Linked DNA regions of Styela clava. The protein of the gene in region 2 interacts with the protein of the main gene of each other region in a pairwise test. Links are inferred from orthologs where the notes say so. Each region holds a gene or a part of one and is shown on either strand. Other genes may lie near its edges. The genes, in order: EKC/KEOPS complex subunit TPRKB-like and EKC/KEOPS complex subunit TP53RK-like.

The links.
Region 1: the proteins of EKC/KEOPS complex subunit TP53RK-like (region 2) and EKC/KEOPS complex subunit TPRKB-like interact in binary tests that used the Homo sapiens proteins (3 or more experiments, as listed by UniProt). The link is inferred for Styela clava from reciprocal best matches to the Homo sapiens genes TP53RK and TPRKB.

What each region holds. Positions count from the first base shown.
Region 1 is NC_135254.1:16,142,785-16,149,666, reverse strand, and holds EKC/KEOPS complex subunit TPRKB-like, read right to left. Parts: upstream 1,712-6,882; 5' UTR 1,600-1,711; coding exon 1,090-1,599; 3' UTR 518-1,089; downstream 1-517. Other genes in the region: kelch-like protein 12, read right to left, coding at 1-483. UniProt on the Homo sapiens protein: Component of the EKC/KEOPS complex that is required for the formation of a threonylcarbamoyl group on adenosine at position 37 (t(6)A37) in tRNAs that read codons beginning with adenine.
Region 2 is NC_135251.1:30,623,708-30,629,571, reverse strand, and holds EKC/KEOPS complex subunit TP53RK-like, read right to left. Parts: upstream 1,561-5,864; coding exon 856-1,560; 3' UTR 501-855; downstream 1-500. Other genes in the region: mitochondrial import inner membrane translocase subunit TIM14-like, read right to left, coding at 2,572-2,925.

The DNA.
Region 1 (6,882 bases), on a different chromosome or scaffold from region 2:
GGCAAGATCTAAACATTGATGTGTACTCGCGAAAGATTTTATACTCAAACAATTAACAGGATCCAGTTGTGATTTCAAAAATGCGCAACATGCTTGTTCCACACCTTTTAACTGTAAAAGACAAGCTGCAGGAAGAAGGTCTTGAACATTATTTGTTGTGACTTTTACTGATTCAGTGTATACAAAATTCAATAAAATGATAACTGTGTTACTTGACATCCCTTTAATTTCAACAACGGATTGGTCCTTTTCTCTCATCCCAGTTGTAAACATAGCTCGAAAATAAGAAGATGATGCAGCTAGAACAACTCGATGAGCTGGCAGTTCAACATCTTGACACTTTATTGTGACATCACAAAGAACATTTTCAGATCGTAATTCGTTCATGGAATCAAGAATATTGTTGGCATGTCCACTAACCAACACCACCCTTTCAGTTGTATCTGACGCTGGTAAAACATCTTCATTGTCACTGCTGGACATTTTTAGAATTGAAATAATAAATTAATAATATTGCCTGGCAGGATAAAATAAAAAAGTTGTGAAAATTTTGTTACCAAAGATATTTTGAGAAGATTACATTATGCAATCCCTTAAGCAATCAATTAGGTCTTTAAATTCTAACGCACATGATGTTGAATTAAATAAGGATTAAGCAGATGTTGTTGTCAATGTTTAATGACGATAAAATATTGTGAAATCAACTACAACAAATTTCGACTATTTATATGCATGCACTAGAAAACTAATTGTTCGCCATATGGAATTAACACTAGCAACGACAGTATCTTAAATAGAAAAGAAAACTGAAAGAATTGCTGAGGAATCTGATCCAGAGTAGAGCGTTCTGCCAACATGTATTTCAAGTACTAGTAACAAATTATCACGAAAAATCTTGCGGAGACAAAATAATTGTGAAATTGATCTAAACTCAGCATGGTCATTAGATTCGTTGACCAATATTTCTATTGATACCATTCTTCAATGAGAAGCAGCACAAAGAATGCTATTTCAACAGAGTATTACATTTTGGTATGGTACCAAGTATTGACCAACTGAATCCTGGAATCTGTGGGTAAACAACATCGATCATTTCACATCTTTAGTAGCCATTCTAGTAACAACAGCTTCAACAGTTACTTCTTCATTTTGTTCGAGACGATAAATTTTCTTTATTCTCTCTACATCAATAATTTTTTCCAAGTTTTCCAAACCAACAATTTCACCATTTACAGATTCTGGAATTACTTTGGAATTCAAGTCATCCTTCAAAACTACTGCAATTATCTTCTTTGTCATTTCATTGATACCAAATGTCTTCAAACTTTCATTAATTTTATTTGTGGGTGATAAATTAAACAATATTTCCGAATATAGAGACTTTGTTTTCATACGTCCTAATTTCTGATAATACAACGCTTTATTGACTGCTGTCAATATATGAAATGAATCTAATATCAAAGAACCATCAATTAAACATCCTTGTAAAATTCCTTCAGTTGTTAATTCTTTTAGTTCCTTTGCGTTTGTGACATTTTGAAACAGTGAAATTTGAACACTTTGGTCAGGAAATAATGGCTTAAGATTAAAAGTCTGCATTTCACTGTGATTCGGAAATTACAAGTTAACAATCAAATATTCAAAAAACTGAAATGTTCTGAATATGGTCAGATAGTCAAAACACTAAAATCTTGAAATCTATATATTTACTGTAAGAAAATTTCACAAAGGATAAAATGCCTCCTCCAGTCCTTCCGGTACCTAAGGTGTTAGCAATTTTTATGTGCCACTAGACACACAGACACAGAAACTCCAATGAAAACAGTAGGCCACCAAGGGAAGCGGACAACTCGACTACACGGACAACTCACCAGAGACAACTCGACTACAGATGGGTCTGGTGGGTTGTCCGTCTTTCCGCCTTTTCTACGGCGACGTTTTAAGCCTATAACAATGTAATTTCGATATTTTTAGGGCTCCAATGTTGAGAAAAATACATTAATATTCTCAAGAAATAATTTTTATGTGTATAAATGATTTTGCTCAAGTTATATGAATACAGATACAGTCTACAGACGAAACTGGAGTACGGTGTCATTTTTTTGTGCATTTGATGTTTTTGTGACGACGAATAAATGATTGATTGATTGGTAACGGTACCAATAGCAAAGTTATACTGTTGACTTATAGGACTGTGTGCGTTTTAATTTTTGAAAGTTATTGATATTGAATGTTTTGAGTACGTACTTTTGAATATATTAAAACCTTCATACGTAGCAGGAAACAGTAACACATATATATTCATGAATGTGAGTTTCGTAGTCTATGATCACTTTAGTTTAGTGGTCACCCGTAGTCTAAACTCGACCGTATACCGGTATGGTCGTATCGTTATCAACCAGTCACATACCGAAAACTGCATAATGTGTTTTTTATTATTATTTGTTGTTGTATCATCATGTTTCCTAGTTTGACGAAAAAAAAAATATTTTCTCTCTCTCTCTCTCGCATTCGCTCGACTGATTCAACAGTTGAGCAAGCGCTCTGCGAAGTTATGCTGTCGATGCTCGAGAGGAAGACAACTCGACTACAGAGAGTTATCTGTGGATTCCCTTCTTCGTAGGACTTTTAAAACGTAGCCGTAGAAAATGCGAAAAGACCTTTGGACCTTTCCCCGACCTTTGACCTTTATTGTTATGATTTTGGTCGCTCAGACCAATGACATTAACCCTTTCCATGCGATTTTTATTTTTTATTAAATAATCGTATTTGCTACGCCGACTTTATGCATTTGTACCCCCACAACTAATCGATCGACTAACGAAAAAGTAATGATCCTCTGCTGCCCACTGACGGCTCGTTGGAAAGCTTATTTAAAGAGCTTGCAATTGGCGATTGAAAAATTTTTTTTTTTTTCAGAAGGGGTGGTCTGAGTCACAAACAGGATAGAAAAAAGACATTTTTTTTCTTGGGTGTTGAAACTTCAAGCCGTGATAAAAAATAGAAATATTCGCTAAATCCTTTACTGTTACCGCTTCTTGGTTGGCAAACAATAGCATAATATTACTGTAGCAATTTCGTTATCTAACTCAAAATACTTTGGTAGATGGAAGGGATAATATGTCTTCTATTACCACCCAAAAAACACCGAAATTTGCATAAATCAAAAACACTCCCTCGTTCCGCCGCAAATAAAACTCCCATGGTAAACGAAAGCGAGATTTACCGTCGCTTATGTTAATCTCGAAGAAGGCTTCTTATCAATAAACTAAAACCCGGAAAAACTAGACCAACAGTTTGCGACCGATTGCTAAATAAAACAGTGGAGTACATCAACGTACCCGCCGCAAACTAGCGAGTTTTGTCGTGGGTACGTATACGTGCCCACCGCACGGAAAGGGTTAAACAACATGATAGGCAACTCTGACGTCACTCCATAAGACTACAGGCAAAACATTGTATTTCATGATACGCTCCAATGCACATATTTCTCGTCGCCTTTCGCGTCCGTTTTCCATTTCGCATATAATTCTCACTGATTGTTGGCTGTTTATAATTCCTATTGATTGTGAATTCTGATTATAACAATGAGTTGAAAATTTTTTTACCTAATTTACTGGCACCTTTTTCTTGTCAATACTCCAAGCTGAGGTAATAAACATGACAATACATTTATGTCATCTGGAAGCAAAATATGCACACTAATTAATAGTTTGGCACATTGAGATAATACATCATGACAGAAAATACAAGTTAAAGATATGTATGACCATCACATGGTAATTAAAATTAAAAAAAATTAATAGGGGCTGTGGAGTATGGAAAGTTCAAGACAAAGAAAAGAACAAATGTTCATAGCTCATGAACTCTCAATTTTGCCTCCATTGCTTTGTGAAGGCCAATATATTTCAAGTGGCTGAATTGGTTTACCTTTATGATAGCAACGATTTTGTATTTAATATAGCGAGATTATTTCAATTTAATTGAAGTGATATAATTTCCCAAAGCAATGCTTGAATCGTCTAGAATAGATCAGTGGTGTCAAACTCATGGGTTTTCGAGAGCCGCATTGCATTTTGAAAATTGTAAAAAGAGCCGCAAACAGTTTTTGATAATGTATACTTAAAAGATATTTTTAAGATAGTTTTAGTTTGTGACATATATTGTGATGCAACTAAACAGTTGGATTAAGTTTTATTATTTTCTTCAATTTCAAATGCAATTACATATTAATATTTGCATTCCACTATTATTGCAACATTTGCAAGTTACAGTATTTATTATAAAAAATCGTAAAATTCTATGTAAAACCATCAAAATCATTTTTGAACAAGCTTTGAATAAGGAAAGAATAATACATACACTAAAAATAACTTAATCTAAATATATGAACCTAAAATTAACAAAATACTACAGTATAAACTCAATGTTTTAATAATTACATTTGTCCTGGCGTTTGGCATCTTTTTTTGTGTCACCAGCATACTAAGGTCAGTCTGAAATGATTTTATAGTACCAACTCTAACTAACGAGGCCACATGATCATGGGTTTATCTGGATCTTTACGAATGTTTAATTAATTCCAGTAATGCAAAAAAGTTATTTTTATCATTTCATGTATAGATCAGTAAAAAAACAAATGACAGATTTTTTCGACAAGACATTTCGCACTACATTGCGTGGCATAGGATTGCTCGAATTATTATTGATATTGATTTTTAGTAACTAAGTCGTTGTATAATTATATTAATATACAAACACATGGAAATTTTCTGTTCGAAGTTGGTCTTCGAATTTGTCATATTGACTGCTGAGCTTATTGTGTTTTTTGATTGTATTGACGGAAATATGACAAATTAAACAATGTGCTTCAGAATTTTGTGAAGAGCAGAAATGTTACAACTCCCATTTTCTTCGAAAATGCCACCTTCTTCATGTACTTTGCGTTTAATTTAATTACTCAAGTGTTTTATTCAAGTATTCTTTTGCTAGCTTGATGTGTATTCTTAATTGGGTCAAAATGTGGACAAAAAAATTAATATTCCAAAACTACTTTCAGTAAATTGTTTTCTGTGTGAATAATCAATTTCACTTTAGAAGGTTTGAAAAATCTATTACATTTAGATAAAAAAAAAAACTTTAAAAATACTATTACAATTATTGTTAAGCGTTCGAGGGCCGCACTGGAAGTTCTCTGGCCGCGAGTTTGAGATCCCTGGTCTAGATTGAAGTTGTTCAAAAAATATATGATAGTATTTTATCATGAATGATGATTATACCCCTTCCGGAATTTCTTCTATAGTACTACCAAAAGTTGATGAACCAAATATAACACAGGTGCAGTGAGGTACCCGTAATCCTCATTTCCAAAGCTGTTTTAAGTATGTCTGGCGTGTTTTGTGCCTTTTTACAAATAAGACCGCTTATGCATTCTTACGCTTTGGAATTTTTAGTTATTTTCCTCAAGCCCTGCAGGATGTGGGGGCCATACACAACTCTACCGGAGGGTCAAATGGGTTTGCATGCCTCCATAGGTTGTTTTTCTATTGCAATTTTCTATTTTCAATTGCATTATATTTCTTGGAATCACACTGTCACTGATATGTCGCCAGACTTCTGATATCTCCCCGTCTGCTATAGTTGTCCTGTGAATAAATAATAGGAAATTGAGATTAGACGAATAGTTGAAAGTTTTGCTTTATGTCGGCTTAATTTCTTGATTGATATACTTACTATTTCTGCTATTGCCTCTTGTGCTGCAAGAGTCTCACAATGCTTAGACAGGTTTGTCCACAACTTTCACATCTGAAGAAAGAGAGGAGATTTATTAATTTTCGGTAAGAATAAATAAAGCAGTCTATATGATTCAGAATGGAAAAGCTAATAAATCCAATATCTCATGTTTTATTTAAAAAATATTTTACTGAATTTGGTATATAAACCAACTAATAAAAGGGTTTAGTCAGAAAATTACAAGCATTCGTTGCTCCAAATACTTGAGAAATCAGACTATACAATATAGACCGGTATGAGTGAAATGTTAGGTGAACTTGTTAACACTTTGATTCAATACGCAAATAAAAGTGAATGCGTAATAGTATGTTACAATGAGCAGCAATCAACAATGAGTATATATCCTCACTGATTAAAAAAATCTAACTGGAGGTGCATGAACTATTTGAAACCATAAGGGGTAAGTAAATATGTAATTTCGGCAAATGGGCAACTACGTACCGTACTGAATTAATAACTTCGTAGTATTTGACAAAGGCTGGCTTTCCCACAAGTACTTAACAGTGCGATGCCCGGGTGTGATATACAACAATAGTATTCACCTTACCTTTTACCGATTTCTTTTTACCCCAACTTTCAAAAATATCATTAAAATCGACAACAACTGTCAAAGCAGTCACGAACACCATTCGTGCTACGCCTTGAAAGCAGCACACATCCGCTCGTTTTCGTCTCGTCAAGTATGTGCATTGGAGCGTGCTATCGAATACGATCTTCGGACAAAAATGCCGGAGTTGCGCATCATGTTGTTTAATGTCATTGCTCAGACAAACAATGCAAATATTCAGGCTTGTGTAGGGCGATAGACTGGTACGTTGCTCGTTTTAAAGGCCTTCGAATGGCATTTCACTGGTGATAGCGGTATTTTCGTGCTAAAGTTATAACATATTGTCAAGTGATCTATTATTAACGTTATTCCGCCTTCACATTGCTGTTAACGTACCTAACTTAGTTCTAAAAGCTCATTTAACATACAAAAATGGAATCACTCAGAGATGACTTTTCTATGACTTGGTTTTCCAAGAACTTTTCTTTCCCCCAGCAAGAGAAGGATACAAAACTTTTCATTGAAAGGTGATATTTAAACTT
Region 2 (5,864 bases):
ATGGGTTTAAGTGCATTGCGCACAGCGTTGGCGCAAATATAAACCCAGTGGATAGCAGTATGCAATTGCGTTTCTTGCCACAATTGTAAAATGCTTGTTGGAAAGGAATCTGACCTCGGTCAGACTAAACGTTACAGAAATACATTTGTGCTAGTGTGCAGCAATACTCACTGGAACTGACTGTGGAAATCACGACATTTTAGACTTAGACCATATAGCTGGGGAAGAATGCAATTACCGTCCATATTCCATACCAACATTAGTTATTATATATTAACGCATTCCATCAGTTTAGGTTAAATCAATGTGGTCGTCGCGAATTGCACACAATAAAGGCATTTGCTTACGGCTTCCAGATAACCGATCCGTGACCTCACATGGGGGCCGAAGTTCCTGTTTGAGAAACACTGTCACAATCTAAGAGGCGGCCGTATCCCTCTTGCCTGTCGTCATGCTGTCCCCAGAATTCCAGCAACAACAAAAAATTTCACGAGAACGGGTTTTAGATTTTGCAAATTCTTTAATGTTCTCGGAGATGGATGACATACGGGTGGTAAAATACCAAGTTGTTCCATCAACAATATATATCATAATACTTGAAACACCGCGGAAGAACATATATATTTGGAATTTCATGGATGCAAGATCTGTTATTCAAAAATGCAAGGACTGCTGTAAATATCTGGTCAGCCCCTTAACTGTTACTTGAGACAATATATAGTTTGGGAACACCTGCTTTTAAGAGTTCCTATTCATTAAAAGTGTTCTCACCACTACAGGTTTAGAACAATGAAAACCAGTGGATGTGTTTCATATATAGCAATTAGTAAAATAGCACTATCATGACACACTACTTCACCCTACCATAGTTCGCTTTCGACCTCGCAGTTTTACTTCCTCATATTTAGATATTATACCTTTGCAGTTGGTGGAATGCGATTTGTAGGACTTAATCAAAGCACCGAAAAGATTTTCACTATTTGGATGAGTACTTAAGAATGCTTTTTCCAAAACATACAAATCAACACCCTTGTCTTCGACAAGTCGAGACGATGAGCTCAAACCAAAGTCAATGAAAATTATTTTCACAACATTGTTTCCTTCGCTGCCTTCCTGACATTCAACCAAGATGTTTGAAGAAGTCAAATCTCCGTGTATTATATCAGAGTTGTGAATCATAGCAAGTTTTTGTCCAACATTCTCAATAACTTGAACCAATTCTGGTGGGTATTGTCCAGGTGTATCATATTTCTCATATGCTTGAAATATGTGCTCTTTCAATGTCTGTGCCATGTCAAAGTATTCAAGTACAAGCACACCCATATCCAAATCTACAAAATACACAGCTGGAGTTTGAACTCCAATATTCCTACATCTTAGTAAGGAACGTGCTTCTTGGGTTATTCTTTTCTTAGTCAGTTTTTCATCCAGTTCGGGATGGCGATATTTTTTCGAAAAACGAAACTTAATAATTGCAGTTCGACCGAGAAACTCACATTTATAAATTTTAGCCTCAGCACCTTGATGCAAAAGCACTCCATGATTTACATAGGGATTCATTATTAATTCTGAAAAATGTACAAACAGTCAATAGATGAGAATCAAATACAAAAAGGAGCTCACGTTTAGAAATAGTATATTTTGCAAAACACATCAAAAACAGACATGGTGGCTATAAACTTTGTGCATACTTTCAAGCAAGGTTCATAATCATAGCAAATAGAATTTGGTGTGATGCTCTATGATTTTCACCAATAACAATTTCATATTTTTAATATAGTGAACATTTTCCAGCATCCTTATAAATTTGTTGTTTGAATCAGCAGACTATTTTCAATACTGGAGTTCCTTTTAAAGGAACTTTCATAAATCATGGGCAACTTCTGATGACTTAATGGTTGACAATAGGCACCAACAATAAAGATATCTTCCTTCGCACATTAGTCCATTCCTACTTCAACCTTTGCTAGGCTATTTTATTAAGCCAAAAATCTCTTAAAAATCTTTTTAAAAACTAACATCTTTGGATTTATTTAGAGTGATCACCTCAAAAAATTCAGGAAGTACGAAATAGAATTATTAAGTAATTTTATTATGTGATCAAATGGATGAAACCTAATAAATACATTCTCTGGCTAGCTTCTAAAAAATATTTTCACCTATTTAATTTCTAACATACCCTGAATTAGTAAATATTACGGACAAACAATTTTAATCAACGAAGAATTAATCAAATTGAGAAAGTGAAACAAGAAACATAAATATCTTGAGTGTTGTTAAATTTTATAGCAAATCAAGTTAAACCTTCATCAGATGGACGTGAATACCAAACCTAGGCTGACAAATTTGAAATATTGCTATTAACAATATGTAACCGTAATCAATAAACCTGAAACATGGTTATGATCCATTGATGAAACATGCCTATTTATCTACCGTATGTACACGAGGCATTGCCATGAAACCTTTTTAAGTTAAGTTACCGTTTTAAATTAAGTTCTCTTATTCTGTTCCATGGCTAACTCAAACAATTCACAGTGTTATAATTTAATCATTTGTTCAAATTTTTTTTTATTTTTTCAATCCATGATCCAACATGTCCTTTGCTTGATTGATTTTGGCGGCAAGATAAGGAGATCCTCCTTTATCAGGATGATTCAGAAGCATAATCCTTCTGTGACATTCTCGTACTCTGTTTCTGTTGCTAGACTGCCCAATTCCTAAAATTAAAGCAGCTTCCCTTTTTGTCATTTTAGTTTCAAAACCACCTCTATAATATTTGTAATTTTCAAAATCAAATTTTCCGAGAGTTTTCAGTGTTTCATCCATCTGACGTGCCGCAGGTCCCGCCATGCGGACAGCTGCTCGAGCTAACAAAGCACTACCAGCAATTCCAAGTCCAACTACAATCATTGTAGTTGCCATGCTTGATCAGTACATATACTCTATAGAAAAAATGAACAAATTGAAAAGTAGAGACTTGATGCATTTAGAATATACAATATTAGACTACTAGATTAGATCTATTGAGAAGAATATAGGTTATGCACAAATTAGCAAATTAAATTAAATGGGAATCATGACATTTCAGCATTTTGATTGAATGATTTTTGAATGTTCAAAATCATCGGAGAAACTACTGAATTATCATCGATCTGGTCCCCTCTAGTAGTTCTAGAATTTTCCCCAATGCTCCAGTAACATAATTGATCCAGTAACCTTATCTTATCATTCAAAAACAGAAAATTACTAAAAAAATGTGTATGCATCAGCAACTTACAGCATGGGGAATTGTTTGGGTATAACAACATCCAAATATTGGAATATACGTTATAATTCAGTAATTGAACTGAAGTGGCCGAAATACTTTTGCAATATTTTAATATTACAACAAAAGAAACACCAACAGAGACATATAGATCAAAGACATGGCAGCATGGCCTGGTGAGTCTGTGAGTGGGATATACTGTTAGTTAAATCATAGATGTGACAGTGTGATGGGCTGTATGTGCAATTTTAATATCAAAATCATGACTAAATACGCTACTTTCATTAACAAAATTCAAAAATATTCAATCAAGGCATGTAACCATCCTCTTCTATTGCATTCTATCCCAGTATCATTAATAAATGTATCTCCAGTCTCCACACTTGAGACTGTGTTGGCCGAAACGTCTGAAATCACAGACTTAGTGACATCAAGAAACAAACAACAGATAACAGTAATAGCGAATTTTTAATTGCAGGACTAGGATGGCAAACTGGTATGCGAAAATGGAAGAATTTTGGGCAAATAACAGCACACAAGCATGAAAATAGGTTCAAACGGAATTAAGATGCTCTCATTATAATAGGGCTTGGTATACAAAACTTACTATTCTGATATTTGAGAACATACACAATCGATTTTTGTGTGGACGTTTTAGTCGATACTACAGTATCATGATAATCACTAGATACCCTATATTTTCTATTTCCAAGCATGGAACGGCGACATGCATTTACACTTTATCCTAGAAATTTTTCAATTGTTTGTTTACACTGCTACATGCCGCCTCAATCATCACGTATTATTAAAGACCGATCATTTTAGTGTAGCTGCTCTGTATTAATTACATCTTGGGTGAGAACGTACTACCGTCTGACCAGGGTTGCCAGACCCCAGCGATCAAAAAAAGCCAAATCAAGACATAAAAAAAGCCAGAAAAAGCCAACAATTTTACTAAGTACAAAAGCCCCATAATTTGTCAGATTTTGAGCCCTTGGCAACGTACTGATGATGATGTAGAGCCATCAGTTCATTCAGTGAGGCACAAAAATAGAAAGTAAAGTTTCTATATGACTGTAGAAAGTAAAATAAATATCAAGCGGACATCATTATTTTACCATTCAATATATACAATAGGCCTACAGGGTGACGCTTCAGTCTGTCAGTATTTAATATACCTACATGTTTCCACTTGTGATATACCTTAAAAAATTCTCCCTATATCGTACTTCACTATTGAATATTTTTTTACTTTCAAAATTTATAAACCATCAATTTTAGTAAAAAATTTATCTAACCCCCTGCCGCTCACAGGTGGACCACTGATATCTAATTCAGTAATTTTAGCGTAGTTAATCACATCGTTACTGCAATTGCAGAATTAAACTAAAGCTCACATAAACCATATCAGGCATAATGAAAATTAAGTTATACAACTATTTTTTGGAAACAGAGCGCAAAACTGACAAATAACACGCAAAAACTATAAAAACGAGGCAATGTTTACAACCCTGCTCGAACATCTGTCTGAGCAGCTGCAGAAACTGCAATTATTTCTTATTGGGTATGGTTAAGAGTTAATGTGACAAACAAGGAAATCGATGCTCCAGGGATTCTAATGTTAATAAGTAGCTAATACTGTGATAAGTAGGCTACAGGTAATAGGCTATTGTTCAGTTGTTACACACTAAATATTGTATTTCATATGATTTTAATAATAGACACTAGAATAGACTTAAAAAAAGCCAAAAAAAACGCCAAAAAGCCAAACGGAAATTCTGACGCCAAACGCGTTTATAAAAAGCCAAAAATGGCAAATTTGGCGTTAAAAAAGCCAATATGGCAACCCTGCGTCTGACAGTACCCGCCGGATCACAGAGCAGCAGAGTTGAGACAGTCGTTCAAAGCCGCATAACGTACATTTTTATTTATTTTTTTTTCTTATTAACGTACGCATAACGTACATTGCTCGACAGACGACGAGGCCATCGGCAACACGCAAAGTGACTAACACTTTATAGTCACTTTGGCAACACGTGACTAAAAGTAAAATTGCGAAACTGGTCCCACCGCGCACATTTGTGAATGCATTGGCGACATCTGAGGTCCCATCTGACTTGAAAACTCCTATTTCTACGCCAGGTTTTGAAATAAAGGAAGTAGTCTGCTTTACATTTTAATTTGGTGTCTTCGATTTGGTGACAGACAACACATCCACGCCACGTTCATCTGCATTCGCAATCGATGTGTTGGCCACCCCAGGTATAGCATATTGGGTTAATTTAACTAACTTTAGTTAACAGTCGGACGTGTTTCAACTCAAGATTATTTTAATTTGACTTGCAAGTTAGAACTGAACTCAGGCCATGAAACCCAACAATTAGACGACCATTGTTCCGGCTACAATGACATAACCATGATTTAACCATGACATAACAGTCAGAGATGAGCGGAGTCAGAATTTTCAGACTCCGACTCCGTCCTGATCCAAAATCAAAATTCGAACTCGGAGTCCGACTCCGAACAAAGAAAACTATGACTCCTGTTTCGCTCCTGTTGACAAATCTAATATTGACCAAATTTAGTGTTCACTACA